Yarrowia lipolytica: one gene and its partners. The protein of the gene in region 2 purifies or fractionates together with the protein of the main gene of each other region. This does not show direct contact. Links are inferred from orthologs where the notes say so. Each region holds a gene or a part of one and is shown on either strand. Other genes may lie near its edges.

The links.
Region 1: the proteins of YALI1_E27243g (region 2) and YALI1_F39885g purify together in Saccharomyces cerevisiae (affinity purification with mass spectrometry; 14 studies listed by BioGRID, with this or other methods). This does not show direct contact. The link is inferred for Yarrowia lipolytica from reciprocal best matches to the Saccharomyces cerevisiae genes TAF9 and TAF1.
Region 3: the proteins of YALI1_E27243g (region 2) and YALI1_F19244g purify together in Saccharomyces cerevisiae (affinity purification with mass spectrometry; 9 studies listed by BioGRID, with this or other methods). This does not show direct contact. The link is inferred for Yarrowia lipolytica from reciprocal best matches to the Saccharomyces cerevisiae genes TAF9 and ADA2.
Region 4: the proteins of YALI1_E27243g (region 2) and YALI1_C19529g purify together in Saccharomyces cerevisiae (affinity purification with mass spectrometry; 5 studies listed by BioGRID, with this or other methods). This does not show direct contact. The link is inferred for Yarrowia lipolytica from reciprocal best matches to the Saccharomyces cerevisiae genes TAF9 and TAF2.

What each region holds. Positions count from the first base shown.
Region 1 is NC_090775.1:3,983,161-3,991,926, reverse strand, and holds YALI1_F39885g (uncharacterized protein), read left to right. Parts: upstream 1-3,337; coding exon 3,338-6,580; downstream 6,581-8,766. Other genes in the region: YALI1_F39891g (uncharacterized protein), read right to left, coding at 255-2,750; YALI1_F39844g (uncharacterized protein), read right to left, coding at 6,769-7,506. UniProt on the Saccharomyces cerevisiae protein: Functions as a component of the DNA-binding general transcription factor complex TFIID. Binding of TFIID to a promoter (with or without TATA element) is the initial step in pre-initiation complex (PIC) formation.
Region 2 is NC_090774.1:2,722,244-2,728,038, reverse strand, and holds YALI1_E27243g (uncharacterized protein), read left to right. Parts: upstream 1-3,698; coding exon 3,699-4,259; downstream 4,260-5,795. Other genes in the region: YALI1_E27279g (uncharacterized protein), read left to right, coding at 140-319; YALI1_E27273g (uncharacterized protein), read left to right, coding at 736-1,941; YALI1_E27249g (uncharacterized protein), read right to left, coding at 2,407-3,093; YALI1_E27229g (uncharacterized protein), read right to left, coding at 4,579-4,980, 5,048-5,101; YALI1_E27218g (uncharacterized protein), read right to left, coding at 5,595-5,795. UniProt on the Saccharomyces cerevisiae protein: Functions as a component of both the DNA-binding general transcription initiation factor complex TFIID and the transcription coactivator SAGA complex.
Region 3 is NC_090775.1:1,921,142-1,928,094, forward strand, and holds YALI1_F19244g (uncharacterized protein), read right to left. Parts: upstream 3,577-6,953; coding exon 3,515-3,576; intron 3,335-3,514; coding exon 1,960-3,334; downstream 1-1,959. Other genes in the region: YALI1_F19216g (uncharacterized protein), read right to left, coding at 1-490; YALI1_F19218g (uncharacterized protein), read left to right, coding at 752-1,570; YALI1_F19249g (uncharacterized protein), read left to right, coding at 3,786-3,878, 4,366-4,779; YALI1_F19268g (uncharacterized protein), read left to right, coding at 5,660-6,953. UniProt on the Saccharomyces cerevisiae protein: Component of the transcription coactivator SAGA complex. SAGA acts as a general cofactor required for essentially all RNA polymerase II transcription. At the promoters, SAGA is required for transcription pre-initiation complex (PIC) recruitment.
Region 4 is NC_090772.1:1,949,451-1,958,470, reverse strand, and holds YALI1_C19529g (uncharacterized protein), read right to left. Parts: upstream 5,497-9,020; coding exon 1,702-5,496; downstream 1-1,701. Other genes in the region: YALI1_C19510g (uncharacterized protein), read right to left, coding at 6,059-7,459; YALI1_C19500g (uncharacterized protein), read left to right, coding at 7,605-7,648, 8,452-9,020. UniProt on the Saccharomyces cerevisiae protein: Functions as a component of the DNA-binding general transcription factor complex TFIID. Binding of TFIID to a promoter (with or without TATA element) is the initial step in pre-initiation complex (PIC) formation.

The DNA of each region.
Region 1 (8,766 bases), on a different chromosome or scaffold from region 2:
AGAGATATTTGGAAATAAGTGCGGGAATAATAACATATTTTGGTAGTAAAATTATGATTTCATTCTTCTAAACAGTCCCATGTCAGTTTCCCTGCTACTTAGTAGACCCCAAAGATGCCAACCCCCCTTACATATCATGAAAACTTACTAAACACATACCGATAAGACTTACCAGTGGGATATCCTGTAGCTGCCATTGAATATTAAATTATAAATTATTGATGTATATATATTTCCAAGCCGTTTGATAGCTTCTATTTCCTAGGTGGTGGTGCTCGATTCAGAGCCAGCTTGACAGTTCTGAGGAATGCTGTAATGGGGTTATTAGTAGGGGGCAGATCCTCTTCATCCTCCAAATCTGCTTGGCGTTCTTCGGTAAGAGTGGTGTCAGCAGCTTCAGCCTCAATATTTGCATTAGCTTTGGTCTCGGCCTCAACCTCAGCTTCCTTAGCAGCCTTCTCCTTTCTTTCAGCCGCTAGGATGGCCTCAATCTCCTTCTGTCTTTCAGCCTCTTGTCGTCTCCATTCCTCTTGGACCCTGAGATTCTCGGCCACTTCCTCAGCAGCAGTCTTCTCAACCTGTATCTCCTGGGAAGATTCGCTGTCGTCTGGTGAGTCCAAAATGGCCACCTCCTGCCGGCTCTGTTCCTCTGCCTCAGCCCTTTCCATGTCTACCGCTTCTATCGCCAACCTCTGCTCCTCGGCCGCCTTATCGGCTAGTCTTTCTCGTTCGGCCTCCTCGGCAAGTCTTTTCTTTTCGGCCGTGAAAGATGCCATAGCCTCCATAACCTGATCGGCCTGTTTGGCCCTCTCTTCCTCGTCAGCATGCTTCGTTCTCTCCTCTTTTGTCAGTCTGAGTCGCTCCCCCTCCTCTGTCTGTCTATGACGCCCGACCTCTTCACACTCTTCTGCAAGTCTTTGGCTCTCATCTTCAGCAGCATCTTTAGCCTCAGTAGCCGGCTTCGCCCTCTCCACCTCCACTTCCTCCTCACCCAATCCCTGAATCTCCTCCTCCTCAGCTTGTCGCAATCTTCCAGCTTCCTCGCCGACCAGTATCTGTTTCTCAGTTTCCTCAGTCTGTCTGACGCGTCCAACTCCAGTAACCGTCAATTTCTCAGCTTCTGCTTCAGCCAGCCCTTGTTTCTCGGCTTCTGCTGTTAATCGTCGTTTCTCTCCAGCCGGCCTCTCAGCAGGCTCTTCAGCAAGTGGCATCTTTTCCTCCTCCGCGTTTTGTAGACCAGAAGTCTGTTTCTCAGCCTCCTGCTGCTTTTTCTTATCAGCAGCTTCTTCAACGGGTCTCTTCTCCGACTCCTCGGCATCCTTTCTCGCTCTCTTGATTTTTCTCAGCTCAAGCTCTTCCACAAAATTCTTCGGCAAGACCCTGTCACGCCTCTTTCGGAAGCAAAATGCAACGATGCGTCTAGAAGTCTCATCAAACTCCAGCATGTCTGCAGGTAAAGCAGGTGTCTCGGGAGAAAGTGTGAAATCGAGGGATAGCGCTGTAACTTCCTTGAGTTCATTCTCGAGAGCTCTGGGCATTTTCTCTGGCTTGAATAGGTCAAGCTTCGCTTTTGGAAAGGGATTGGGAAAGAATATACAAGACCATGCCTCGTTGCTTATCTTAGATGAAGGCAGAGAGAGATTCACTTCGTAGATGATGTGAAAACAGATATTCATATTATCAGATGTAGCACCCGACTCCAGGTCTCGAGGATGTCTTACAAAGGAGCGATTCTGAAGAGTCATAAAATGGCCCAACACGAGATGCTCCCAAGTCTCGTGGGTGTTCTGGGTTCTGAGGAAACAGAATGGTTGGCTATTTTTCAAGGTATCATTGGGGTCTCTCACAGCTGTAGTTGCTTCTTCGAAAACTTCAGCTATTCGGGATGGAAGTGAGCGGGCCCGAAGTTCGTAGATGGACACTACCGTATCGAAAGGTACCATGTGCTTGAATGCCTTCTGAAGTACGCTTCCAAGCCATCCGTTCGTTCCTCGACAGGGGTTCATGCAAATTAGGGCCAAGGGCTGTCCGTATGCTCTTAAATGATCCAAAACGGCGACCCGAATGTCCCTGATCAGGTCCAGCGCGTTTTTGGGTTTGCAAGGTATGCTGAATGTGGCAGCCTTGGTGAGATAATCGATGAAGAGCAGAGAATATCCATTCGCGTTAGACAAAGGAAACAGGGCAAAAAACACAACTCCGGGTCGTTCGCAGATTGGGTTTAATTGCGAATTCTTCAGATGATGCTGAAACACCTTGTCCCAAATCGTCCTCTGCATCTTATCCTTCAAGCTTTGGGTCAAGGCCCTGCCACTCTCCGTCTCGTCAAGCCGTGCCTCCAGAGCTTGCAATGCCAGCTTCTCGTCCATATGCATGCCAGATATACTCCATGCAATGATACTCTCAACCATCTCCTTCGGAATTCTTCCAATGTTGAGTCGTTTCTCTAGCAGTTCGCTCACGTAAGTAGCATTCGTAGAGCACCCCGTCATGAAGTGAGCAGCAAGCACCACCCAAGGCACGTGATCTCTGGTCACTCTCACAACCTCCTCGCCCGTGTTTGAATCATTGTCGACGATAAAGGCGGCATTCTGACGCTCCTTCTCATATTCCTCCGGTTCTTGTAATGTGTAGTCCTTGGAAACGCGTCTGTACCATGCCGAAAAGAATAGAAAATAGGAGTCCAGCCGGTCGAAGACTTTCGGTAGTGACAAAGTCTCCCGTACCCTTTGCTGTAATCTGTCTTCCATGTGGCGAGTCCAAAAGACAGCTCGTTGTGCCAAAAAATCGAAATTGAGTAGTGAATGAGTTCTTCTGAACTTGTTAAGCTTGACCCAGCGCGTAAAGATCTTGATATGCAGGAGAAGAAACCCAACTATAAAAACCACACTTCATAACAACAACAGGAGTGAGGATAATGATGATCAGCAACCAATACTTGTAACAAAGACATGACTCACAAAGTGCTTAGTGTACAAAGTAATATAGAATCTACAAGTAGTCGGTATGTTGGTTATATAAATGTTAGGATTTAATCATACACGTTATACAGTATGTGTTCGGGTCAGTGCATGCGCTGACTTTTATATACACCTCGAGAGGCTATTGACTCAATAAAGACTCGTGGCAATGTACCAAACTGTCCAAAATCGAATGGCCATTTCCCTTTATCACCATTTAGAAATATTTCCTTGTCGTCTGGATTTGGTCATCATCCAATCTATCACTAGATAGCATGCTCTTCATCCGCTAGCCTTATGTAATCAACCCTAGCCCTGAATCTTAAATCCAATATGCAGCTACATTTACACCCCGTGCAAGAGTTACACAAACAGAAATGGCCGACGAAGACGCTGACTGGGCCAGAGCACTCGGTGGCGACCCTACCAACGTTGGAGGTGTTGTCCCATCGCTTGATGGTGCAGATGCCATCAAACACTCCGCAGACGCCATCGATTTCGAGGACGAAGACGAGCTGGCAGATGATGAGCTGCCCGAAGAGGAGGAAGCAACCGGAAACAACGTGATTGAGGAGGATGAGGAGATGATTGTCGAGGAGGAAGCTGGTCTATCCATGTCTGGGAACGATAGCCTGGGTGGCTTCCAGTTCCACATTGGCGAGGATGAGCTTGGAGGATTTGATCTGGGAGATGACGAACATTGGAGCCAGAGCTGGGGAGGCAACGAAATGGACGAGCTGCCTGTGATGGACGAGTACGATGATGGTGGTGTTGTCCATGCTGGAATGTTGAATAACAATGCCAACAGCAACAACCATGTCGTGCATGCCGGTGAACCTGGAGAGTCAGACGAAGAGATGGAGATGGAGGCTGCTGGAGGCGACGGGCTGGACATGAAGCTTGACGCAGATGAGCTAGGCGAACTGGGAAAGTTAGGGCCTGCCGACAAGATGGACGCCTCTGGATTTGATGACATCCAACACATGAACATCCAGGAGCTCAATCTGGAGGAAATTGCACAGATGGCGCGTCAGGCTGATCTTGACATGCTTGCAATGTACTTCCCCGGGTTCCAAAAGGGCAAGCCTATGAAGATGAACTCGCTCTTCTACAACAAGTTTGCTGTTCTGAGTCTGCCCAAGCCTAACACTGCTCGTCCGTGTGTCCCCACAAAGACTAAGCTGGAGGTGGCGCCAGATGAGCGTAAGATGACACGAGGAACAGTGTGGGTGGACCATGCTAAGCGGCGACCGGGTGTTGTAACAGTCACCGAGGCCGAGACGGGGGACGATAAGCAGGAACTGGCCCGAGAAAGCAGAACCACACAATCAGCAACAGACCAGCAGCTGCATTTCGACATTACTGACTGGAAGATCACGTGGGGAGATGAGGATGATGGGGATGGAGACGTGGATATGGATTGCGAGGGCGAAAAGGTCAAGGAGGAACAAAAAGAGGTTGTTCCACAGCTCGGCGTGCACAGAAACGAAGAGGCCTGGAACGACGAGGCCTTGTTTGAAGGCGATGCTCTCAGTCAGGTGAAGAAGGTCAACCTCGATATGAACGACCCCAACCTACTGTTCATCAACACAGATGGTCGTGTATCGAAGAATGTGACTCCTGCCATTCCCTCCACCGAACTACAGCTTCGAAACAGATTTAACCTCAGTAACGACCGAGCCTACGATATGCTCAAGGAGAACACACAGAGCAAGGTACGAGCCACTATTGGCAATCTGTCTATCGATCACTCCATGCCAGCTCTCCGACTGCAAAGTCCATTCTACAAAGTGCGAATCTCGAAGCCTCAGGCTCGTTCGTTCCATCGGCCATCATTTGTGGTGAAACCCAACACTACTGTTCACTTTTCGCGAATGAAGATCCGAAAGAAGAAGCGAGACAGGGGAAAGCCTATCAAGGATCTTTTGGCCAAGACTACGGACTTGTCGTTGGGTGACTCTGCTCAGTACTTCCTCATGGAGTACGCTGAGCAATTCCCCATGACCCTCTCCAACTACGGAATGGGCTCTAAGATGATCAACTATTACAGAAAAGCTTCTCCTGAGGATACTTCCCGACCTAAGCTCCCCGTTGGAGAGACACATGTTCTGTCGGTCCAGGACAAGTCTCCCTTTTGGAACTTTGGATTCGTCGAGCCGGGTAAGATTGTGCCTACTCTGTACAACAAGATGATCCGAGCCCCCGTATTCAAGCATACACCACGTGACACAGATTTTCTTATGATCCGATCAACTGGAGGCGATGTGACTGGGGCTGGCCAAAAGTACTTTCTGAGAAATATTCCACATGTCTTCACTGTCGGTCAAACATACCCCGTGACTGACGTACCCGGGCCACACTCTCGAAAGGTAACCACGGCTTCCAAAAACCGGCTCAAGATGATTGTCTATCGAGTGCTAAACGCATCACCTTATCATAGAATCAACGTGAAGGATATCGCCGAACATTTCCCTGATCAGATTGACACTCAAAACCGACAGAGGCTCAAGGAGTTTATGGAGTATCAGCGAACAGGTGAGGATCAGGGTTACTGGAAGGTCAAGCCTACCGATACTCTTCCTGGCGAGGACGGCATCAGAACCATGATCACACCCGAGGACATCACTCTCTTGGAGGCCATGCAGGTTGGTGTTCAGAACCTTGAGGATGCTGGATATGGTCGAACTGACGACATTGAGAGCGACCATGAGAATGGCGAGGAGTCTGGTCTTTCTCTGGAGGAGCAGTCTGCTCCATGGAACCTGACCAGAAACTTCATCAACGCTACCCAGGGCAAGGCCATGCTGCAGCTGCATGGCGAGGGTGATCCTTCTGGTCGAGGCGAGGGTTTCTCATTCCTCAAGACTTCCATGAAGGGTGGTTTTCAGGCCGCTGGTGAGTCTGTCAATGAGAAGCTTGACAAGAGCAAGTTTGGCGGACACAAGTACAACGTGGCCCACCAGCAGCGTGCATACGACGATGAGATCAGCCGAATCTGGTATGCCCAGTGTCGAGCTCTCAGCAACACCAAGGTACCTGAAGAGAACGACGAAGATTCAAAATGGGCCGATGCTGAGGAGCAGCGAGAACAACAAGAGCGGGTGTCTACGCCTGGTTTCACTAGCGCAGCCTTCCCCGACGATGATAACATGTCGCTCATGTCAGGCGACTCGGCCATGCAGCAGCGCAACAAGGTGCTGCGAATCACGCGAATGGTCAAGGACGAGCACGGTATCATCCAGCGAAAGGTCGAGACCATCAAGGACCCCAGTGTCATTCGAGCATACATTCGACGACGAAAGCTGATGGACGAGGCCAAGCTAACACTCGACGACTTAGACCCCACCAACGACGAGGAGGCCAACAAGCGAAACAAGCGGCTGCTGGAGGAGCGGCTGGAGGATCTGCGAAAGAAGGGCGAGCGACGAAAGCAGCGACAGGCCCAGAAGCAGGGTCTCAACACAATCAACCTCGGCACCGACACTCCTCCCCCTTCAGGCAAGGGTGTCGGCAAAGGCAAGGGTCCGCGACAGTGCAAGAACTGTGGTGCATATGGCCACATTCGAACCAACAAGAGTTGTCCCATGTACAACCAACTCGAGGGACCTGCCAACCTGTAGTTGTATAGCATGGAGGAATAGTAAATTATTATGTATTATTGCACAGGTAAAGACGTAAAAAAATCGTACAAACAAGAGAAAACAGTGGTCGGTTATGGTGCTACAGTATGTACTGCACATACAGTATTAACAATACTCATTAAGTATAAGTGTTTGAGAATGGCTCGGAAAAGGTTGGTGTGATTCAATTACATAGGATAAATGGCCTCATACATCAGGCCTTCTGTCGATTCAACATCAGAAAACTTGCCACTCCAATGCTCAACTCTCTTGCCAACTCGGGGAGGATCAATCATCATCTCTCTCTTGTCCACATTGATAGCACAGTAGAAAATCCAATTGAGATAACCGCAATGGTTCTTGAGAATGTTGAGTCGTTCTAGAAGATTGAATGATCCATGGTGACACTGATTATTCTCTGGTCCAGCGCAGGAATAGACATCTTCAATAGGAGCATTAATACCTGTGGGATCACTGATGTAAACTTCTCCCAGAGTATGTGAATAACCAGCGGGCCATCCAACAAAGAAGTCGTTCCAGTGAGTGACTCGGTACATCCGTCTTTCGGGGTTGATGGTAAGTCCGTCGTCTCCTTGCTTAAAGAACAGAGCGTCCACGTAGTCTGCAAAAGCCTTGTTTCCAAGTCGAGGCTGCCCATAGTTGATTAGCGTTGGATCATATCCAAGATTCTTCAGGTTGATGCCCATGAATAGAGCAGTGACAGCTCCTAGAGAGTGGCCAGTTACGATCAATTTGTAGTCAGTGTTGTTTCCAAGGAAGTCGACCAGACGATCCTGTACGTTCACCATAGTCTCTCTGTATGCCTTCTGAAAGCCATCATGAACTTGGCAGCCAGGACAATTGATACTGGCAGAAGGGTTTGTGGAGTTTATGTCAGTAGTGTTAAGAGGAGGGATACTGGTCATGTAGGGTTGTTGGATCGTTTGGATGTCAGTAATAGCGTCTGCAATGGAGAAAGTGCCTCGGAAAACAATATACTTTTCCTTTTTGGTGTGATCGTGGGCCAAAAATCCAGTAACTGAAGTCGAGAAGAAATTTCCTCCAAACTGGTAGTCAAGAGTCACATCGGGAAAATGAGCGCAAGAGTTTCCACAGGTAAAATCGCTCTGCAGGGCAAATGGGCCAGGGGCTCTGACACAATAGGCCACGTTAGATAGCCATCCGTACTTGAGAACAAAGTCGTATGTCTCCTGGGTGATAGGAGCCGTTTGCGCGAGAGCCTGAGCAACAAGAAGAAAGAGGGCAATGAACGAGAGCACTGAAATTAGCAAAGGAGATAATTAACTGAGGTACTGAGTTGGAAAGGTTGTCATTGAGTTGTTCTGAGCATAAGCTGACAGTGGTGAACGTTTCCAAGATCGATAAGCATTCTCAGAAACATCAACAACTTCAACTCTTAATAGTCCACCGCCACTTCCAATGGTACTGTACCACAACTAGCTGTAGACTTCCTGCCAACAGACAATCCTGTGACATCTTCTCGATGATGGAAGTCCAGTCCATCTCTCCATACTCACTTGCAACTTGTGTGATACAAATTAGACTGACTGAATGTCACTGCTGCTTCTATCACCTCCTATGCTGAATCCTCTACATTTATATACTGGTACTGTTGTGTGGTACATACTGTACTACAACATGTATTAGCCTAATGATCTGTTCCATGTAACCAACGCATGCTACAAGTAGGTCTCTCAAAGCTAACTCTGCTATGAGCTCCATACTGGAGTTTAAGATTGAATAGAGGGTGGGCAATATTCCCAGAGACGATTAACAGACTTGGTATGTGATCTAATAGTTCCTTGTTATACCTTCAAACTGCGGATTGTGTATGTCCCTGTACCTGCATCTTGATGGAGAGAGCTCCGGAAAGCGGATCAGGAGCTGTCCAATTTTAATTTTATAACATGGAAACGAGTCCTTGGAGCTAGAAGACCATTTTTTCAACTGCCCTATCGACTATATTTATCTACTCCAAAACCGACTGCTTCCCAAGAATCTTCAGCCAAGGCTTCCAAAGTAACCCCTCGCTTCCCGACACTTAATTGAAACCTTAGATGCAGTCACTGCGAGTGAAGTGGACTCTAACATCTCCAACATAGCGACGATATTGCGAGGGTTTGAATATAACTAAGATGCATGATCCATTACATTTGTAGAAATAT
Region 2 (5,795 bases):
TGTCTCATTAACAAGGGCACATGTATTGATTGAATTGACGACACATGTTCGCATCAGAACCAGGGTGCCACGGGCTATCCAGGGTGCAACACAGCCCATATCGATCATCAGTCCGGCCCGTTTTCCCCTACTAACACAGCTCTACGGACTGTACAAGCAGGCCACCGTCGGCGACAACAACACCGACCGACCCGGCGCCTTCAACTTCAAGGCCAAGTACAAGTGGGACGCCTGGGACAAGCTCAAGGGCAAGTCTCAGGAGGAGGCTGAGCAGGAGTACATTGCTCTTGTCCAGACCCTTTCCGACAAGTACAACTAAGCGAGATTATGAGTTGCAAGTAAGTAGTTGATCCAGTATTAATTGATCTCTGATTTGACCGAGGATGAGGGGATGCCACATACAAATATTTCTGCCAGTTCATCATTCTTAGCATAGTAGAATATGTAGCGCTAGTACATATATAGTGAGTATGCACAGCCATGGTGGCAAATGGACCAGATAAGACGGCATGTAACAGTGATGAATAATCGAATATGAGACAATCTGCTTAGACAATCGGTCGGTGTACAAAACAGTTAACAACAAACACATCCTGCTCACCCTGGAGATTCTCTTTTTCCCTTACTTTTCGTGTCTGACCGATTTGATCTGATCTACTCTAACTTAGTATCAGTGGAGTGCGTCACCATCACCACACCAACCTACGCGTGCCACACGACACTCGACTCCCCGAAATGCAGTGCCGCAAATGCTGCTTTGCATGCGAAAAATGGTGCTTCATAGGCGCCAAGGCGTTCCTGCCGCTCGTCGTCAATTTCCTCATCATCTGGGCCTGCTGGGTCCACGCATGGCTGGTGTGCTGGGAACCGCAGTTGTTTGAGTCCGACACCACCTTCTGGCGCGTCTACGGCGTGGCGGGCGTGGCTATCGGCATCATGTGCAACGTGCTCTATCTCAAAGTATGCAAGGTGGGCCCCGGAAGCCCCACCGACATCGACAACTTCTCGGTGCCACTGGTTGAGTACCAGAACGCATGCAGCGCCGAAGGCCAACATCTCACGCCTCCTCGAGAGATGGCTAACTCCGTGTGTGCCAAGGAGAATGGAGGTCTACGGTTCTGCACCAAATGCATCGGCTGGAAACCGGACCGATCACACCACTGCTCAAACTACAAGCGATGCGTGCTCAAGTTTGACCACTACTGCCCCTGGTTTGCCACGGCCATCGGGTTCCACAACCACAAGTACTTTGTGCTGTTTCTGTGGTACGTGACAATTCTGTGTTTCTTCTGTCTCGGCTCTACGGGCTTTGTCTTCTACAACCACATTCTGGAGATTGGTGCCATGCGCGGCCCGGACGGAAACACAGACTACGTGGGCGCAATATCCGTCAACGTCATGATCCTCATGGTCCTGGCACTGGTGTTTGCCATCGCGGTCGGCACGTTTGCCACCTTCTCGCTCTACCTCGTGTTCAACAACCAGAGCACGGTCGAGTTTCTGGAAAGCACCCAGTACCGGTCTGCCGTGCCCACTGCCGCATACAGATACACGTTTGCGCCTACGTCCAAGACGGTCGGAAACGTGTTTGACGTGGGCTGGAAACGCAACTTCCAGCTCGTCATGGGCGACAAGTGGTGGATGTGGCTGCTGCCTATCCAGCCCAGTGAAGCGGCCCGGGGCAACGGTACCCAGTTCCCCCTTAATAAACAGGTGCTGCAAAAGATCAGAGAGGCCGCGGCTAAGGAAGTCCAAATCAGAGACCAGAACCAGGCCTACATCAAGCAGCAGCGTCAGCAACAGCAAAAACGCACACAGTACGACCTTCCTCAACATCTCCAGCCTCCTCCTCAGGAGCACTATGAGTATGACGACGAGGCCCAAGACTCTGGAGACGACATTCCATTGATCAACATGGTCAATAAGAACAACACGAAATGAGAATAAGAGGTAGCCGACGAATGAATCGGGGGCCGACAAATTCTTGGAAGCTATCTCTCCCCTCCAGCATATAGACATTGCATTTAACCTGATATATTATACCCCATTCAGACAAAGATGCATATTCAGGCAGATCTTGGACAGTATACAGATACTATGCGGGTAAATTACTGTACCCTTTAATACCATACAAGTACGTAGATGTACCACTCAATTGTGTACATACAGCTACAGTATGTACTCGTTCTTGTACTATCACTTGAACATATTCTCGATTACATTACTCTACTCAGCTCGCTGCTTGATAGCATTAGACCCTCGGGCCTTGATGGCAATCACACAAGCGGCGGTGAAGAGAAAAACAAAAAAGCAGCTGGCGTTGTGCTTCTCCCGCTGGTACACGGCCTGGGTACGGTCCCGCAGGTTATCATAGATTTCAATGGCCTTCTTTTTGGAGCCATGTAGTCAGAGCTCATCCTTGTCGGACTTGCCCTTCTTCTTGACGTCCTTCTTGGGCTCCTTGGCGTCCTCCTTGGCAGGCTCAGCCTCCTTGGTCTCGGACTTCTCCACGGGGATCTCTCCGGCATCAGCAATGGTGATGTCGACCTTGGGGTTGGATCGAGCGCCGGTGGGGGCGTTCTCAATGGCGTCGACAATGTCCTGGCCCTCGAGAACCTCGCCAAAGACAACGTGCTTGCCGTCGAGCCAGCTGGTGACCACGGTGGTGATGAAGAACTGGGAGCCGTTGGTGTCTCGGCCGGCGTTGGCCATGGACAGCTTGTAAGGCTTGGTGTGCTTGAGCTGGAAGTTCTCGTCGGGGAACTTTCGGCCGTAGATGGACTCGCCTCCAGTGCCGTCTCCTCGGGTGAAGTCTCCGCCCTGGATCATGAAGTTCTTGATGACTCGGTGGAACTTGGAGCCCTTGTAGCCCTTGCCGGTCTCGCCGGTGCACAGAGCTCGGAAGTTCTCCACGGTCTTGGGGACCACGTCTCCGTACAGACCCATGACGATCTTTCCGAGCGATTCCTCGCCCTGCTTGATGTCAAAGTAGACCTTGTGGGTGATTTCGGCGTCGGGCTCGGCCTGTGCAGGCTGGACAAAGAAGGCCAGAAGAGCCACGAGCAGAACTCCAATGGTGGCAAACAGTTTCATGGTGGATAGTATCGTGTGCTGTTGTGCTGTGTGGTGGCAGTAACAGGGAAGGAGGCGTGCTTAAGTAGTCGTACTGTTGGGACCGTGTTGGTGCTACGTGGAAGAGCATAATGTTAAACAGGACCAATATATGTCACGTTGGAACTGGTGGGCGCAGGGAGATGGGCGCGAGGGGGAGGTCGCGGGGACGTCACGAGCGCGCTCAATTGGTGCAATTGGCCTCGTTGACCTAGTCATAACCAGTTGGTGACTGTATTATTCATGTATCCACGTTCTTGGGTGGGATTGCAGTGTATGTGGGGAGCCAAGCACGTCATAACATATGCCTGGGATCTGATTTTTTGAAAGAGGTGACAACATATCCCTCAGATGGTACACAACTACTTCCTTTTGGCATCTTTCTCTTTTTTAAAAGACCTCAACTGCGACTTTTATAAGAGTTATGTCAGGTCCCTGATTCACCAGCACCTCCCCACTACCCACCACTCATAACCTGAACCTAATAATGCACGATCCAACATGCAACTCTATCAGAAGGACAGAAAGATTCACACTCATAACCGTCTACCAGAAAGACACACAAAAAAACACACACAGACACACACATGGAATCGGGTGATCTTCCAAACGCAGCCACACCGCGAGACGTGCGTCTGCTGCATCTGATTCTGGCCTCCATGGGCGTCACCTCGTACCAGGAACGGGTGCCTCTTCAACTCATGGACTTTGCCTACAGATATACACAAGGCGTGTTGCACGATGCACTGCTGTACTCGGACCATGCTGCGGCCGCCAACAACTCTCACAACGACAAGACGGGCCCTGTTTCCGGCGGATCTGGCGGAAATGCCAACGCAGCAGCAGCAGCAGTTTCCACGTCGGCTCTGTCAGTGGAAGACGTGCGACTGGCTATTGCTGCTCGAGTCAACTACCAGTTCAAGCCAGCACCACCCAAAGAACTGCTTCTGGAGATGGCACAGGAACGTAACCGACGAGCTCTGCCACAGGTACAGCCTGGCTACGGCTTGAGACTGCCCCCGGAGAAGTACTGTCTCACTGCCAAGGAGTGGGATTTGGACGAGGAGGAAGAAGAGACTGTTGAGGGAGCTGAAGAGACCAATAACAACAGCAGCAATGAGGATAAGGAAATGAAGGATGCGGTCTAATTAGGTGTATTTTTATTGATTATTGAACTCCGCCGGAGTAAAGGTTGGAATTTCATGGATATTTGACGAGAGGTGTTCGTAGTGCTTCAAGGGAGAGCAAGAGATGCATCAGAAACCATTGAAAGACTGATTCCGAGACACAAACTACACTGCTGTACACATAAATGCATTCCACAGCCGTACGCTTCATTGTACAACATGATACCACGAGTACAATTAGTTACTTGTACTGAAAAAGCTATACAAGACCATTCGCTACGCTCCAATTCTTGAGGTCAACAACAACAATATAAATACACTATGCTAGTCTCGCCGTTGGTTACGACTGAATCTCGGAAAAGTTCTGCACCAGTTTTCCCACCGGCTTGACGTTGGACTCCTTGGCAACCAGCTCCACAAACTTGCCGACATGCTTGGAAACCACCTGTTTGTCCTTTTCGCTCAGGTTGGCCTTGCTCACGTGAGAAGCATCGCTAGCAAGCACCACAATGCCTGTTTCGGGGTCCAGCTGGCGCTTGAAGTCGGAGGCACTTCGTTTTTGGGTGATGCCGTTCGGGGATTCGACCTGGGCCACCGCGCCGACGTCGATGAGATTCGAGCCGGTGCTCGTCACAATCTGATGCAGGTTAGACATGCGTTTCTGGCGGTCCGAAGGGTCCACTGCATTATCGTCTGTGGTGTCGATTGTGTTGTTTCCAAGAAGAGGTTCATTTTCGGAGATCTGGGTTAGTAATCTGCATAGAGAGAGTGTGTGGGGAAAAGATGCCGGCAATCAAATGAATACTCACACCAGGAGGGTCTTCCTCAACGGGCCCTCTTAAGCAAGACAGCAAGACACCCATTTGCTGTGTGTTGTTAGTAAGATGGTGATGGAGATATGAAAGTGTGGAGATGCATGTTTGAACTTAGATGAATATCATAACAAGAAAGGAGAGTAGTTACTGGGATGTAATGGATATGTCGGGAAGGTGATGAATATGAAATATACCATGAAATTACTGGAGAAATTGATTTTGATACTCATTTTTGTAATTTATTGCATATTTACCAACTTAAACACTTTTGTTAATAATTACTTAACCCCCCAAGTAATACATCAAAGCCCATGTACTCCCAACCCTAACCCCCAAACAAGGTTCTGGCCAACCAAACGAAGGGTAAAATCTCAAGCTCTGTAGTAATAGCGTCAAGATCACGGTTCAGCTCGGAGGCTCAGAACACAACCCCAAAAATGCGATACACACAGCTGCTGCGAAACGTCTCCAAGGGAGTCCAGAAGAGTGGCCAGAGCGTCCTCGTTCAGATGCGAGAGGGAAGTGAGTATCTATGTGGTTTTTAAACCTGACTGTGCACTACACAACTACGTCTGATGTCACCACGACAGGAGACGAATGTCTTGTCTATGCCACTAACAAAGCTCCTATCGGTCTGACCGGTATCTACCAGCATCCCAACCCCCGACCGGCACTGATTGCCCTGTACGAGGCCACCCTCAAGGAGCTGCAAGACAAGCACCCCAAGGACTCTGTCTACCGA
Region 3 (6,953 bases), on a different chromosome or scaffold from region 2:
GCGTCTCGGTCTTTCGCGAGTACATCATCACGGCATTGAGCTTCGGGTCGATGTCCAAATGAGACTCCTGAATGTGGCCACGAATGGTGAATGTCAACGGAAGCCAGGTTGTAGGCTCTGAGAGCACGTTCTTGTTCTTTTGTTTGGAGGCTCTGAGTCTGCAGCTGAAGGGAGCATCCTCGTGAATATAGAGCTGGAAAAGGTGGTAGAGCGTGTCGGAGAATCCAATGGTGCAATTCACATCTTGGTCAACACGGTATTGAAGAGAGAGGGGCTTTCCTGTTTCTCTGCAGATGGGGAAGTCCTCATAAAGAATTTCTTGGGTCTTTTCATCGACCATGTGTTCTCCGTCGTGGATGTTTCGTTTAATGCATTCGAGAGGGAGATCGTCGCCTATGCTATAGGGGTTGAGATCTGTTTCTCCCCGAGAATCAAAAAAATATGGCTCAGCAGCTAGCACTCCGGCGATAAAAAGCGGGGCCAGTCTCATGTTGGTTGTGTTGGATGGTGTGGCCAGATGGTTGATCTGAACCTTGTAAGGTCAGCTACGTCACGTGCCCAAACAAAGAGTGCTTGGTGTCAAGGCTAAATTAGCCACATGTGGAAGGCACAGCGAGGCATCCATCGTGTCATAGCAACCATCACCTCGAACACCCAGATGGGAAAAATGGGAATGCCACAAACCTGTGCTGATTAGTCATATATCTGCCCAAAAGAGCCTTCTACTCTGAAATCAGATCGTACATGGGCCATGCATGGAGCTAAGTTACAAGTAAGAGGCAGCAGCAACAAGCCTCCCCATAGTTTCTTTCATGCCATGACGACCATACCGCAATCGTCACGGAAAACCACACTGATTCCACCACCAACGCAAGACTTTGCAGCGCGCCAACAGACCATACGACTGTATCCCTCCTCCAACTACGTGTTCGCAACCAAGGATGCTCAGGTTGAGAGGGATGTCTCTGTGCAGGCGCGCATGCAACGACTGAAAAGCATGTACGACGAATCGGGGATGTTGCGGTACGTGGAGGGGGTATTTCTGTGTCATGAGTTCGGAACTCCTTACGTCTTCTTACTCCAGTTGCCAAACAACTTTTTTAAACTTCCCGGAGAGTACTTGGACCCCGACGAGGAGGACGAGGAGGGTGGATTGCTGAGGAAGCTCGCAGATAGGCTCAGCCCTGAGAACGGAGAGGACCAGGAGAACTCGAAGTCATGGAAGGTACTAGACTGCCTGGCGCAATGGTGGAGACCTAACTTCGAGGTTTTCATGTATCCATTTCTGCCACCGCACATTTCTCGACCAAAAGAATGCAAGAAGACTTTCCTCATTTCTCTGCCCGAGAAGATTGCTTTCTTCGTACCATCGAATATGACATTCCTTGCTGTCCCTCTTTTCGAGCTCTATGACAACCCCGCGCGATATGGACCCCAGCTTTGTGCGTTGCCACATTACCTCTCAAGATACAACTTCGAGTGTGTAGACAAGAATGGTGTGGTGGTGTCGCAGTTTCCTGGGTCTGCACCATACCAGCAAAAAGATGGAGAAAGCAAATTGCAAGCATAGAGCAACGGGCATGTGGATCAAAGACTGGATAATGGGTGGCAACTGCATAAACACCACAGATCACCCTGAGAGAAGATGTGCCCAGCCATCTAGTTACTAAGCTGCTAGATGTCCTGCATGAGGTGGTCGTTCAGCACCCTAGTAGTTACAACTACGAGGTAACTGCGGAATGATCAGGTCTCTTTGGTAAGTACAAGTACATACCCGGCAAGGGAGTATAGCTGAAGTAGACTGCAATAAACTTTGTATAATAGCTACGATACTCGATGTTTGTCCCTTCTAGTGTTCGCGGTTTTGTTTCTAATGTTTGTATTTGAATAAATTAACTAATATACAGGATTCCAAGAGATTGGTGACACTCAGCATTATATATGGGTTGCAACAAGGCCCTAAGAGAGCCAGCGCTGAGACTGGAAAAACTCATAGATTCGAGCGGTTTTGTTGACATCAATCTTGACCAGTTCACGGGCTGTACGCTTCTTGAGCACACCTCCGGTTCGCAGCAGCTCTCGGAACAGCGTTTCCTTGATGGCCAGATACGGCTTGGGCAAGATACGCAGCTGGGAACAAAGAACCTGCTCTTCTGGAGAAAGCAGCTCCACGTCTGGGGCATGCGAGATGTCGAGGGGATTGGCCACAGGTTTTCTGAAAAGCCGTAAGGTGTCTGCTCCCGAGTCAGGGTCCATCTTCACAGCTTCGGCGGCAGCCTGGTTTGCGGCAGCGGCCTGTTTGTTGGTTTTTTGAACAAGAGCATTGTTTGCAGCATTCATCGAGTTTGCAGTGTATCTGGATCCAGTCGAGTTGATGGAGTTAATGGGAGCCTGCAGCCTGGCCAATGCGTTTGCACGTACAGTTTTATCTCGTTCGTATTTGGACGCAGCTTCGAAGGTGGTGATACCGTTACGTCGATACTCCTGAAGTTCAGCCAGTCGTCGTCGACACTGGAGCTCAATAATCATTCCATCAACAAAATCGGTGAAATCCTGTAGTGTCATGATTCTTGCAAACGGCTTTAACTTGTTTACAAGCTCGCGCTCCTCCTTGGTCCGTTTCTTATCGACAGAGGCGTTCTTCCTGTACTGAAGCAGCCCATGGTTGATGATGGCTCGCTTTCGCTCGGTTCGTGATGTGAGACGAGAGTTGTAGATATCAAGAACAGTGATCTTGAGCTCCACATCAGCCTCGGTGTCGTCCTGATCAAAAACCATGTCCTTGACCGTCATCTCGGCCTCGTTTTCATGCTCGGTCTCGAACTCCAGACGTCCCGGCATAAACCCTTGCACCTCATGGCATGCAGGAACAGAAGCCGTGGGCTTTTGCTTGGGCACAGGGAGAGCGGTGGGCATATTTCGTCGCTTATCCAGACGCTCCTTTTTGTTTGCTGCGAACTCAGCTGCAGTGATCTCGAATTTCCGCTTCATGGGGGGCAACGGGTAGTCTGGCGAGTCCAGATAGACTTCCTTGTAATGCTCCCCAACCTCTTCCTTTGATCTACCACCGATATGGTCAGCGATGTCCTGCCAGTTTCCAAGACCCTGCATCTCGGCACCCTCGATTAATAGCAACTCCTCATCAGCACCCCAGTCCTCAGTGAAAATAGGATAAGCATGCTGCTCAATAATCATGTAGTTGTGGTAGGGCTTGTGGACACCTGATGAGGCACCCTGAGAGAAGCATTGTACACACAGATCGTAGTCCTGGCACTCCGCACATCGGATTCTTACCAGGTTGGTGCAATCACACGAACACACGTCGCAGTGAAATCTGGATTTAGTTAGCATGGGGTGATGAAAGTGTATCGAAATCGAGTCAACGGGGGACTCTAGCACATTCCTTCGCTTGACACAACCTTGGAGCAACTATACAGCAACAACTTGCTGACAAACTGCAAAAATATATAAACCATGCTGAGTGCATTTGGGACATGATGTATGATGTACTCACTTGACGCCTGGCTCTGATGCCTTGGGATTTGTCGGCGCGTTTTTGCGATGGATAACCGTCATTATTGCGATTTAGACGTAGTCGTTCTTTGGTTGATGGCTGGACTTCTTCGTGTCCAGTTGTTTGTCCTGTGCGCCACGTCGTTTCAAGCGGCGATGCTAATTTATTGGCGTAGTGACCAATTTCCAACCCACTTTCGAAGCTTAATGCCACATTCTGGAGGTGTGTGTTAATTTCTCACTGCTCACACCAGCTACTTGTACAAACTTGTATGTTGGTGGCGCACTGTATAATTTATTTACCGAAAGCGTCAAATCGCCTCTTCTCTTACATCGCGATTTGTACTTGCATTGTATCTCATAGGGTATGTCATGGTTCAGTGTAGGCCAGTGTATGGTGTTACCCGGTCGTATTGCTTGGAGTTTGATGTTCAACATGTTCCTGGGGCTTTTGAGATTAGGGCTTGCTTATGTGGGAGGCGTCTTGAAAACGAACGACCAGTCTCAATTTGGTTATTAGGGTTTGGGACTTACATGTGGGAGGGGCTCTGATGGCTGGTTGTTGGTTTAGGGTTGAATTCCGTTTTAAATTTTGACAGTCCGATTCTGGGCCCAAGCACGTGCACTGCCTAATCGGGACGTCCCAACGCTGGCCCGCGCACATTGACGAAAGCTGTAGAGATTTTACTTCTCAGTGTACTTTTCGCCAGTAACAAATAGCACAAAATGGTGAGTGTGAAAAGGTGGCAGTGTGACGGGCACAATCACGACTGACAAACGACAAGTGAATCTATCTGCGACGACAAGATGAGAAGGATTCCGTGGTGATTTCCAGGCCGTTACTAACCCCAGGGTCGAGTTCGAACTAAGACTGTCAAGCGGGCCTCCAAGGTCATGATTGAGCGATACTACCCCAAGCTCACCCTCGACTTCGAGACCAACAAGCGACTTGCTGATGAGATCGCTGTTATCCCCTCCAAGCGACTCCGAAACAAGATCGCTGGCTACACCACCCACCTCATGAAGCGAATCCAGAAGGGTCCCGTCCGAGGTATCTCCTTCAAGCTTCAGGAGGAGGAGCGAGAGCGAAAGGACCAGTACGTCCCCGAGATCTCTGCTCTTGACCTTTCTCACACCGACAACCAGCTCCAGGTTGACAACGATACTGCCGACCTCCTCAAGACCCTCGGATTCTCTTCCCTTCCCCTTAAGGTTGTCCACGTTTCCCAGCAGTCTGCTGAGCGACGATTCCGAAAGCGAAACTAAAATAGCAAAATGTATTATTGATTCACTAGTTGATTCACATGTTTATTCGAAATGTTTTTATGTTCGTAGCTGATGCATGTAACTACTTTTACGTAGTTCTACCGTACTCGTACCAGTAACGGAACGGGTAATTGTAGCTATGATATGTATTGTATGAGTAATGCACTAATTAGTACTGTACTGTATTGGTATTGTAAAACGCCAGATTCTCTATCGACATTACAGATGTTGTTCGTACTGTAGCTCGTGAGATGTGATACTGTAGCTCGTGAGATGTGATACTGTAGCTCGTGAGATGTGATCTCTCATGCGACGACACACTGCAAATGTGTATAACCATGTATGTTTGATACAACACATCGTATAGTACAGGTACAAGTACTATAGCTAAATGTACAGTACTGTATACGATACTTGTACATACGGCATAAGCTCGTACTGTGTCTCCTTGTACGATACTTGTATCGTGGTATGTACATACGGTACAAGTGCGAAACAGTTCGTATACAAGTGCCACTTGCACACGTTTGTTGTGCACGTGTATATAAAGCGTGTGGGCTATTAAAGCTGAAATAATACTTTAGGTGCTCACTTGGGTGTAATTGAGAGCTTTCTCGAACAATTTAGAGACTTTTGTATTCATTCCTTGCAGCTATAAGAGACTTTGCTTATATAATATAGTTAGTTTTGTGTCGTTTCGCATCATCTGATATCTCACACTTCCCAATTTGGGTCTGTGTGTGTTAGGGTTCAAGAAGTTAAAGCTCGATATGCATACCCTTGGTCCAGCAGCCATGGTCTGATATTCAAGTGCTCTCTTCACGCGTACAGAGATTTACGATATTACAGACACTGACAACTTGAGGTTTCACGAGAAGCTATGTCTGACCAGCACTCTGCCCCCTTTCGAAAAGTAGCAGGGTCAGACGTGCTTGAAAGCTCCAACCCTACGCCAGGCGGCCTGGACATCCCAGAATGTTTACCTGACCCAGGTTGGGAAAGATCAGAGGGTGGCGGTGGGGTACCAATTTTCCGGCCTACCATGGAGCAGTTTGAGGACTTCAATCGATTCATCATGGAGATTGACAAGTGGGGTATGAAAGCTGGCATTGTGAAAGTCGTTCCTCCCAAGGAATGGCATGAGTCTCTACCTGCTTTGGATGAAGTTGTCAAAGGCATTAAGATCAAAAACCCGATTGTTCAGCACATCTCTGGCCATGCTGGCCATTTCCGCCAACAAAACATCGAGAAGCAAAAGTCTTACAACATTGCACAGTGGAAGTACTTGAGTGAGCAGCCTGACTATCAGCCCCCAGCCAAGAGAGGAGAATCTCGCAAGGACTTCAAGAAACGCAAGAACATACCCCAAGACGATGCCATTTTTGAGGATTTCGACTATAGATTTGATGACTCTGAATTCACCACGGAGAGGATGGACTTCTTAGAAAAGATTTACTGGAAAACGATCGCCTACAAAGAGCCCATGTACGGTGCCGATATGCCTGGGTCACTATTTGACGACAAGACACGCTCATGGAATGTGGCCCATTTGGACAACTTGTTGAACCAGTTGGATATCAAGATCCCTGGTGTCAATGATGCGTACTTGTACTGTGGTCTGTGGAAGTCGACTTTTGCCTGGCACTTGGAGGATATCGACCTGTATTCCATCAACTACATCCACTTTGGTGCACCTAAACAGTGGTACTCTGTAAATCAGGAGGATGAAGCCAAGTTCTACCAGATTATGGCTGACACCTTCCCAGAAGATCACAAAGCCTGCAAGGAATTCTTACGCCACAAAACCTTCTTGGTTTCTCCTCAACTGCTGGAGCGCCACGGTCTCACTGTTAACCGCCTGCACCATTACCAGGGAGAATTTGTTATTACATTTCCTTATGGCTATCATGCCGGCTATAATCTTGGATACAATTGTGCAGAGTCAGTCAACTTTGCCACACCTCAGTGGGTTCCTATTGGTAAGCATGCTCATAAGTGTCTTTGTATTTCAGACTCTGTCGGTCTGGACGTTGAGCGGCTGGAAAGGCGCATGCTCGGTCTACCGTCGGATTCGGACCACTCTGAGGATGACGGTCATCAATCCGGAGTGTCTATCGGCACCCCAGATTCGGAAATCGAAGACCATCTTCTGCCAAAACCTCATTCTCCGTCGA
Region 4 (9,020 bases), on a different chromosome or scaffold from region 2:
TAGCTGACATCAGGATGAACCCCAAAGTAGATTTTTCGACTCAGCTCCGTTGGTTCATTGTCCTACATCCTTCAGATGATCGTCTTTTCCATGGTTCACAGCAGTTGTCTCACCATTCCTTTTCACCTATGTACTTGTTCTTGCTCCCTTCACAAGTCCACAACGTCAAACAGTCCCTCCCTTTTCTCGTGAAGACTCGAAAGTTCTTCTTTCCAAGCTTTCTCGTTTCCTCGTCAGCTCTTTCATCACGGTTGTCGGTCAGCTTCTTCGTGCCTTGGTTGGACGATACCCAAGACATCTTCATCATCATCGTGAAGCTCGAAGAGACGTGAAAATTGTCATGAATACGTCTAGACACCATTGAAAGCATTGAGTAACTGCCAAGAGTTAGCGAATCACTAGAAACAACCATTGACAGTGCCATGGACACAAGCCTTGGATTACGATTCCAATTTGTCCGGAGCTCCTAATAGTGTTCTCCATTTTCCCTCTGAGAGAGAGTAATTACCATCAATCACCACCAGAGGATCAACAAAGACCTTTCAAAAGGTGTATAAAGTGCTACAGTGATCAAATGATCAATTACCATTCCCAAGTTCCTCGTCTCGGACTCTACTGCTACGCTACGCTACTGGCTTCCGGGATAATGCTTACGGTCCAGACCAGGGACGGTCAGTCATTCTACTCGTAAAGCAGTTTACTGCAGGATACGATAATCAACCTATCAGTACTGTATCATTCACTGTTTACACATTAGCTACCCTAGCAAGAGCAACTTACTTGACTACATACTGTACCTACTTGCATCGATGTGTTTGTACTGAAAATATTCGCCGTTGTTCCAGCGCAAAGGGCACGCATTGGAATGGTTTAGAGACAAGATATAATTAGCCCTAGCACTTGTCACTTTGGACAATTGGCTTGAACACGTGACTCTTCAGCCTGAATTATTACCCATCGTTCCATTCTACTTAGACAAACATCTTGAATTGATGCTCCTGAATGCCAGAAGAGAGATAGAGAAAAACAGAGCCGATTATTGTATTTATTGGACCTCATTATGCCATATTTTTAACTCCCAAACTCCACTGATAGACCCCTTATCGAGTTATGACAAACCTCATTTGTAGCACATACGGAACATGTCCAGTCCAGGTTTAAATATCCATTTACAGAACGCGATGGAGGTGCTAGACACATAGGGACTTCATTATTGAAATCTTTGGCCTCTATAGAGATTGTGTACCATTTGTGTCTATACCTCAAAGTGCTCTGGAACGAAAACATAGCGCAGACTTGGAGGCGAACAACTACTTTTATGAAAAAACAGATACAAAAAAAGAAGACTTAAAAACAAAAACAAAAACAAAAAAAAAAAAAAAAAAAAAAACACGACATGACGTATAAATAATATATACATTCTCTCCTTCTTACTCTACAGACATATACACTCAAAAGAAGCGGGCCGGTCATCAGAAATCCACCAACATTGTCACGTGTTTGACCAAAAGATGTGTTCAGCAGTCAACTGAACCACGAGAGCTCACCGCAGAGTTCACCGCAGATGTACTCTCCCATTCTCCAGCAAAGGCGTCGTAGTACTACTGGTGGAAACGACTACACCTCCTCCTACAAACTTGCGTCTTCTCTGTTCCTACCTCCTCCCCCCTCCCCCAATACAATCATCATAAATATACATTATTACTTGAAACTGAGCTTTACCGACAACCGCTTGACCTCCTTTTTTTTGGGACCGGGATTTGTCGTGATCCTGAAGCCCGGCCTCACCGAATACTTGACCTTTGGGTTGTTCTTGGATACCACCACAATCTCCGACCTCTGCGCCTGCTCCTTGAGCCGCTTGCTCTTGATGGCAGGCAACACGGCCGTCTTCTCCGGAGCAGGAATGTTGGACTCCACCCGCAAAGCCAAAGAACTTCCAGAAGAATAGTCTACGCCCAACTTGATCAGACTGGGGGTCGACAACTTGACCTTGAAAGCATCCACAGGTACAAACAGCACCTGACACACGTCTAGCAACTGCGACTTGGCCTCCAGACCGTGGTATGGACTTCGTAGCGAGTCCCACAGCTCAGTCTGGAGACTGGTGTCCTGCCGGAGCATGTCTCGAAGAATATCTGCAGCCCCAGTAAGCGACGTTCGAGCCATCTGCACCTTTCGCGCCTCCATCGCCGCCTGGGTACCATCATCGACAATCATACCGTCATTGTCATCGGCATGGTTATCTGCAGACATATCACCCTTGATGGCCAAAGTGCCGAGATACCGCGTGAAGAGGTCGATGATGCCGTTTCGCACCCGCGCAGAGTCGTCCAGAGCAGCCGAGGCGAACACATAATGCATAATGTAGTGGTTTCGAAGCCCACCAATGTGCAACATAGCCTCGAAAGCTGCCAGACGCACCTCCGATGAGTTGACAGAACGCGTGAACTGGATGAGATCCTGCAGCTTGGCAGAAAATAGACCCTTGAGAAAGAGCCGCTTCTTGGCCTCCAATGCAGCCACAGTCACCACGTTCTGGTACGACGGAATCCAAGTGTCCAGGCGACCACACCGATCAATCTCGTTGACTGCACGGGCAGCAAATTCACGAGTAGACTCGTCGTTGCTGTCTGACGAACACAAGACATCGGCCAAAAACGTAATCAGATCAGACAGGTAGAACGAGTCACTCATGGAGTTGGTTGAATTCTCATTGTAGGCCAAAATGTCTAGAATCAGCGTCCGGATCTCTGCGGGACACTCGCCATCTCCATTTCTGATCTGAGAAAAGGCTCGAGTAATGGCCTTTTGCACGAAATATGTGGGGAAATCCGAAAAGTCGTTAGATCGAGGAATAGACGAGTTGGGGAAACAGAACAAGTTCTGAAAGGCCTTTAACAGATGCGTCTGACCAATGTAAGACGTTTCCGAAACTGCCATCTTCACCAACCCAAGTGCTGCTGCCACTCGAACTCCATAATAGTACCGCCGATCAATCAATGTACGTAGCAGGATCGTCGAATATACCTTGGAGGGTCGCGACTCGGCAAAGAACTGCACCGATTCGTACTGGGCAACCACATCTCGATCCTGTTGAAGCTGAGAAGCGTACATGTAATCGGGTTGGTTGACATGGATCTTACAAATCCATTCGAAATCTGCGTCGATTCGGAGCCACTCAAACGCCTCATTGGACATGCGCATCTCCTCATCCTTGCCCCACTCACTGAGCTCCCACTCTTCCAACTCTGCATCGGTCTGTAGCACATCGCCCAGACACGAGATGACCACACCGACCTCATCCTCCTCATTGTTTGAAGCAGAAGCTGCAGGAGGCGCCGCAGTTGCAGTAACAGTGGCCGCAGCTTCCACCTCTTTCTTGTTCCGCTTCAGCCGCTTATACTTTGTGTTGTACTGGATATCAAGTTTGGTAAAAATGTGCTTGATATCCACCACATGCTCGTAGGGAGTACCATCAGCCTCGTGGATTCGAATTGTAATGGGACCAGTAAAAAGTGGCGTTTTGGGACCTCCTTCCTCCTCATCCCCATGATCCACTCCCTCTTCACTCCGAATAACGTCCCCAATAAAGGTATCCTCCACAGGTTTCTTCTCGCCGCTCTTGTCGGTCTGGGTCTGCCGAATACCCATTTCAATGAACATTCGCTTCTTGTTGAACCGCTGGGTGACCTGCAGTACAGGAACACCACTCGAGTACACCCACTGGTCAAAGAACTCGTCCAGCTTGCAGTGCGAAACTCGCTCACACAGCTTGTAAAAGTGGTTTGTGCCCAGAGCATTGTTGACAAGATCACCAGAAAGAGACTGCAGAAAGATACGGGGAATGACTCGAGAAAGACCAAACGTCTTGTCGATTTTGGTCATTCGACGATCCAGAATAAACAAAACTCCCGGAGCCTTCAGGTTGATGAAGCTCAGATCCTTGGGAAACAGAGGGAATCGAAAATGGGGCTTGGCGAGCGGTGGGCGACCCACATCTTCCTCACAAATCATCTCAGCCAACCGCTTAAACCGGTACCGGTACTCGTTATTGCCCATCAGACGCTTCATGAACAGAGCAGCCATGTAAATAGCCAGACCTTGCGTCAACCACGTGTCGTTCCAGGTGCGTGGCACAATGTTGACACCACACCATTGGGTAGTCAGGGCAACTGTGAGAGCTTCTGTGGACGAAAGCAGGGGATCCACTACATCCGGAGGATACAGAAAATCGTCAGAGGCAACACAGAGACCCCCAGACGCGCCCATCTGTGCCTTGCCATACTCAGACACAAACACCACGCTCATGGCGTCGAACGGGAATGAACCATACTCATTGGTCAGAAACTCGATGGCCTTGTGTAGGAAGACACATGTGTTTGAGGCGTCGGAAACCTGGTCCGGAAGAGCAAACACCTTGATGGGGAATCCTGCTGGTGTTCCTCCGTCCTCGTCTTCGTCTGTGTCTCTGAAATCAGGCAGAGGCGCCTCCACAAATGGACCCACAGCAAAGCCAATGTGCTGGGCCGAGACGGGGTTCCAGAGGGAGTAAGCAATGGTCTTTTTGGATGCATCGGCGTGGGACAGCTCCTCCACCACAGCTCCATTTCCCACCACCTCAATTTCGATTTCCATTTCCAGATCAAGTTCCTCTTCCTTGTCGTCCTGCTCCATCTCCTCATCCTCATCATCGTCGTCAACGGTCTGTTTTGGCGACCCGGTTTCTGTTGTGAGTTCCTTTTTGACCACATGCTCGTCGGCAAGTTCTTCCTTGACACGTGGAGTGGCTCCTTCGAGACCCTCGTCGTCGTCTGCGTCCTCCATATCGACGTCGGGCTCCTCTTCCTCGACCCTTGCTCCTCCTAGACTGCCCACCGTTCGGGGCACCGTCACCTCAAACTGCCACGTGCATCGAGACCACAGACCGTCCACACACGGCAGCCAGTGGCTGGTGGCCGCTCCTATGGGTGCGTGGGTTGTGTATGCATGCCAGAACGACTTTTTGAGCCTCGATCCATGGCCCCCGACAAACGTGACTCCCGTCTTGGGATCCCGGACCACAAACGAAATGGTGACAATCAGAGGAGCGTACACCCCGACGGCCTCCTCATCTGCGGCGGGCCCTGTTTCCCGTGACGTGTCCTGATAGCTCACCTTGACGCCTCGCGGCAGATTCACCTCCAGCTCTCCCTCCAACACCTCCTTGTGGGCGTGATCAATGTACTTTCGGTAGAGATGGTGCTGATGGACGTCCGAGACGGTGCGCGAGTCGCTGAACGCCTCGTAGCCGCTGGCGTCGTGATGTGTGAACGTGGCCTTTTTGCCGTTCACCAACACAGACTTGATCTGCGCCTGCCGACAGTCGAACCGAAACTGCCGTATCGACAGGTCCGACGGCACAATCGTGATTTCCGTGGAGCCGCGCAGCACCTTTTCCCCGAGATCCACGTCCAGCGACACCTTCTGGTGCGCCACATTGAATCCCCGCGACATGCTGTAGAATGGTTGGTTTCTGTGTGTAACTGAGTGGCGTCGCAACTGTGGTTGGTGATGGTGATGGTGTGCAATTACAGGTGCATAAGGTTTGGCGGTAGCGGGGAGAGGTCTAAGGAAAAGCGTCGGGGATGGGCGAGAGGCGATGAGGACGGGTTTGGTGGAGACAGGTGGTGTTGGAGATTCCGGCAATATTCTCCTTTTTACGATAGGAGTGGTCCTGGGTGAGTTGGAGAGTGTTGTTTTGGCGAAGCAGTGTAAGTAACTACAAAGTATTGGGTCAACTAAAACGGAGCTTTTTTAACTAAACTTTAAGGATAGATCGGAAGAGCGGTCAGCAGGAATATTACGATTATTAATAAAATATTATAGAATAAAAAAAACAAAATAAAACAAAATAAAACGAAATAAAACGAAAATAAAACAAAAAACATGGAAATAAAACCAATTACCAGTCCCAAAAGTCACCCATAACCATGCATTACCAAAATAACGAAAATAAAACCAATTTTCAGTCTCCAATAACCATGCATTACCATCTATATAGCTCATTCTCACACCTTTACTCATTCTTGAACCCCTTGAAGTACTTGACTCGAAAGTCCTCAGCCTTACCGCCTTCAGTCTTTCTCAACTCGCCCTTATCGCCCTCCTTTCGTCGCCTGTACACCAAACACCGTCGCGACCACTGGTTGAAGTCCTGCACACAGTTGCAGATGAGCTCTAGATCCTCATGGAGAGGAATCTCGGCGTCTGTGTAGTCCTGGTTGGCGGTGGGCATCCAGAAGGCGAGCCGGCCGTCTTCAACAAGTCGCTCAGCCGAGAAACTCAACAGAGCATCCATCATCTTTCCAAACTCAAACGGCTTCTTTGGAGGAATGTAATCTCGACGAGTATGCGCCAGCTGACCGTCCACCAGAGTCGTTTCCAGATGCTTCTTCTTCTCAACGTCCTCCTCTCGCACTCCCAGGACTTTGAGACCCTCCCGAACTCCGTAGGGAGGATCACAGACGATGGAATCGAACTTGAGACCCTTTCGGAACGAGTTGTTGGTGAAGTCGACCGCCAAAACGTCCAGAAGCCGGTTAACGGAGTTGTACTGTTTGAAGTTGGCAGGAATATCGCATCCTTTACCCTTGCCTCTGATCATGCGCACATCGATGTCCGAACCCACCGTGAGAGCTCCAAACGCTGCCGCAGCCACCAGAAACGATCCGGTGCCGGCAAAGGGATCGTACATGAGCCCGTTTCGCTTCACATGCGCCAAATTGCACGTCAAAAGAGACAATTCAGCGTCAAACGACGTCGTGCCGATATATTTGCGTTTCTTGAGATCAAAAGTGTCCATGGCACTCCGGTTGGAGTTGGCAATGTGTCGTCCAAAGAATATTCGCGCGGGAGCGGGTTCGGGGTTCTGCCCGATGACTCGGTAGTCCTCCAGAATGGTGAACACGTGGTCCGGCGACTTCATTTTGATCTTTCCCTTGAAATCCATGTATGAAAACCCCTCCACCATCTTGATAAACTCCTCCTTGGGTCGCGAAGATTGGTATCCAATGATTTCAAACTTGAACGAGTCGGTGGCATACTTGGGCCACAGTTGGCTGGTCTGGGTCTTGATCTGCTCGTGAAGCTCCTCCATGGACGCAGCTGGACCGCCCCAAAGCTCGTAGATGGACTTGGCAAGCACGGATCGTCGAATCAGCTTTTTGGCAGCCTCGTCGTTCTCCAGCTCCACAATCATGAACGGAGACGACTCGTCATGGGACGACAAGTCAACGGCGATATTTTCGAGCTGGGCCAGGGCGGTGAGTTCGGCCAGCCGAAACTGCATGTGCGTTTGCGACAGCAACAGCAGGTACTTCATTGCTTCTGTTTGTGTGGTGTTTTTTTTTTTTTTCAGATCAGTAGTCGCATTATCAAAATATTTTTTAGACTTTGACTTTTTTTTTAACATAATCATTTACAGGAATCGAACACACGACGTTTCGATATTTTCCCCAATTGGGGGAATGGGTTAGGGTAAAACAGAGTGCATAGTGACACCGCAGAGGGAGGTTTTCTCCTCTACCACACACACACACATACATAGCGACTAGATAGTTAACATGTCTGGACTCGACGACGACGACGATTTTCTCAACGATATTTAGTGAGTACTCCACGCGACCGGCGACGTGACACAGATAGGTATTTAGAGTATCTAGGTGGATATAGGGCTTTTGTTTTGTGTGGGGGTGGAGGGAGAGTTGCCAGAGATGTACTTGCACAATCTAGATGTATGGTATTAGTGGTCGGAAGGGTGGTTGGAAGGATGGTTGGAGGGGTGGGTTGACCAGGGAGAGTTCCGATTCCTGAGGTGTTAAAGCAGTCAAAGGGAGATCAGTTGCAACGGTCAGACTGAAGACCCATTTCGGAACTGATCACCATCGACTTGTGCCGAGTTTGCATAGCCCAGCTTCCCTGTCCCCATTGGGCCCATAACGACTCTTCTGTACTCACTTTTACTGCTCCACGGCTGTCACCCAGTACCCAAGGGTAAGTTAGATACAAGACCCAACTGCTGTTGAGCAGACAGACTGTTCCGGCGGTTGCTGGAGTAGCGAGACACGAACCGATGAAAACATTTGACTATCTCCACTAGCCAGCATTCTACCCCTAGCTTATCCTGCACATACTTGAGATCTGCCCCAGCTGTGTTCTGAGCAGTCATTCCACGCACTGGAATGCAATCATAAATCTTCTCCAAGTTCCTCGTTAGACGCCATCTTCCTTTAGATGTCCATTTTTCAGACCACATTCGTCCCCTTCTCCGCACCATATACCTCTCCTCTCACACTCCAGACCAACATCCTTGACATATTTGAGCTCGTGACTACAAAATCATCGTCTCTAGGAGTTGTACGAGTACCAACTAGGAGTTCCCACGGCCTTCTGCTACCAATACTAACCCAGCGCCGAGGATAAACCTGCCAAGGTTGAGCCCAAGGCGGAGGACAACATCCCCACGCCGGTAGCTCCCGCTGCGGCCACCCCCGCCGCTCCCACTGCTGATCCTCGATTGGCTGCTGCTCCCTCAGCTCCTGCTGCCGCTGCCATTCCCACTGCACCCGCCGCCGCAGCTGCCCCTGCTGCCGCCGCTCCTGTGGCTCCTGCGGCTCCCTCTATCCCCGCCGAGATGGCTGCGGCAGTCGCAGCAGCCATGCCCGGACCCAACGGCGATCTTGTTTACCGGTCGGATGGAAATGCCGCTCTGGGAAACATTGTCATCCCTCCCAAGGACGAGGGTAAGATGTTCATTGGAGGTCTCAACTGGGAAACCACCGACGAGTCGCTGACCAACTACTTTGCGCAGTTTGGCGAGGTGCTGGAATGCACTGTCATGCGCGATCACTTTTCCGGCAAGTCTCGTGGATTCGGATTTCTCACCTTCAGAGACCCCAAGTGTGTGAACGCAGTCATGGCCAAGGAGCACTACCTTGACGGAAAGATCATCGATCCCAAGCGAGCTATCCCTCGAGAAG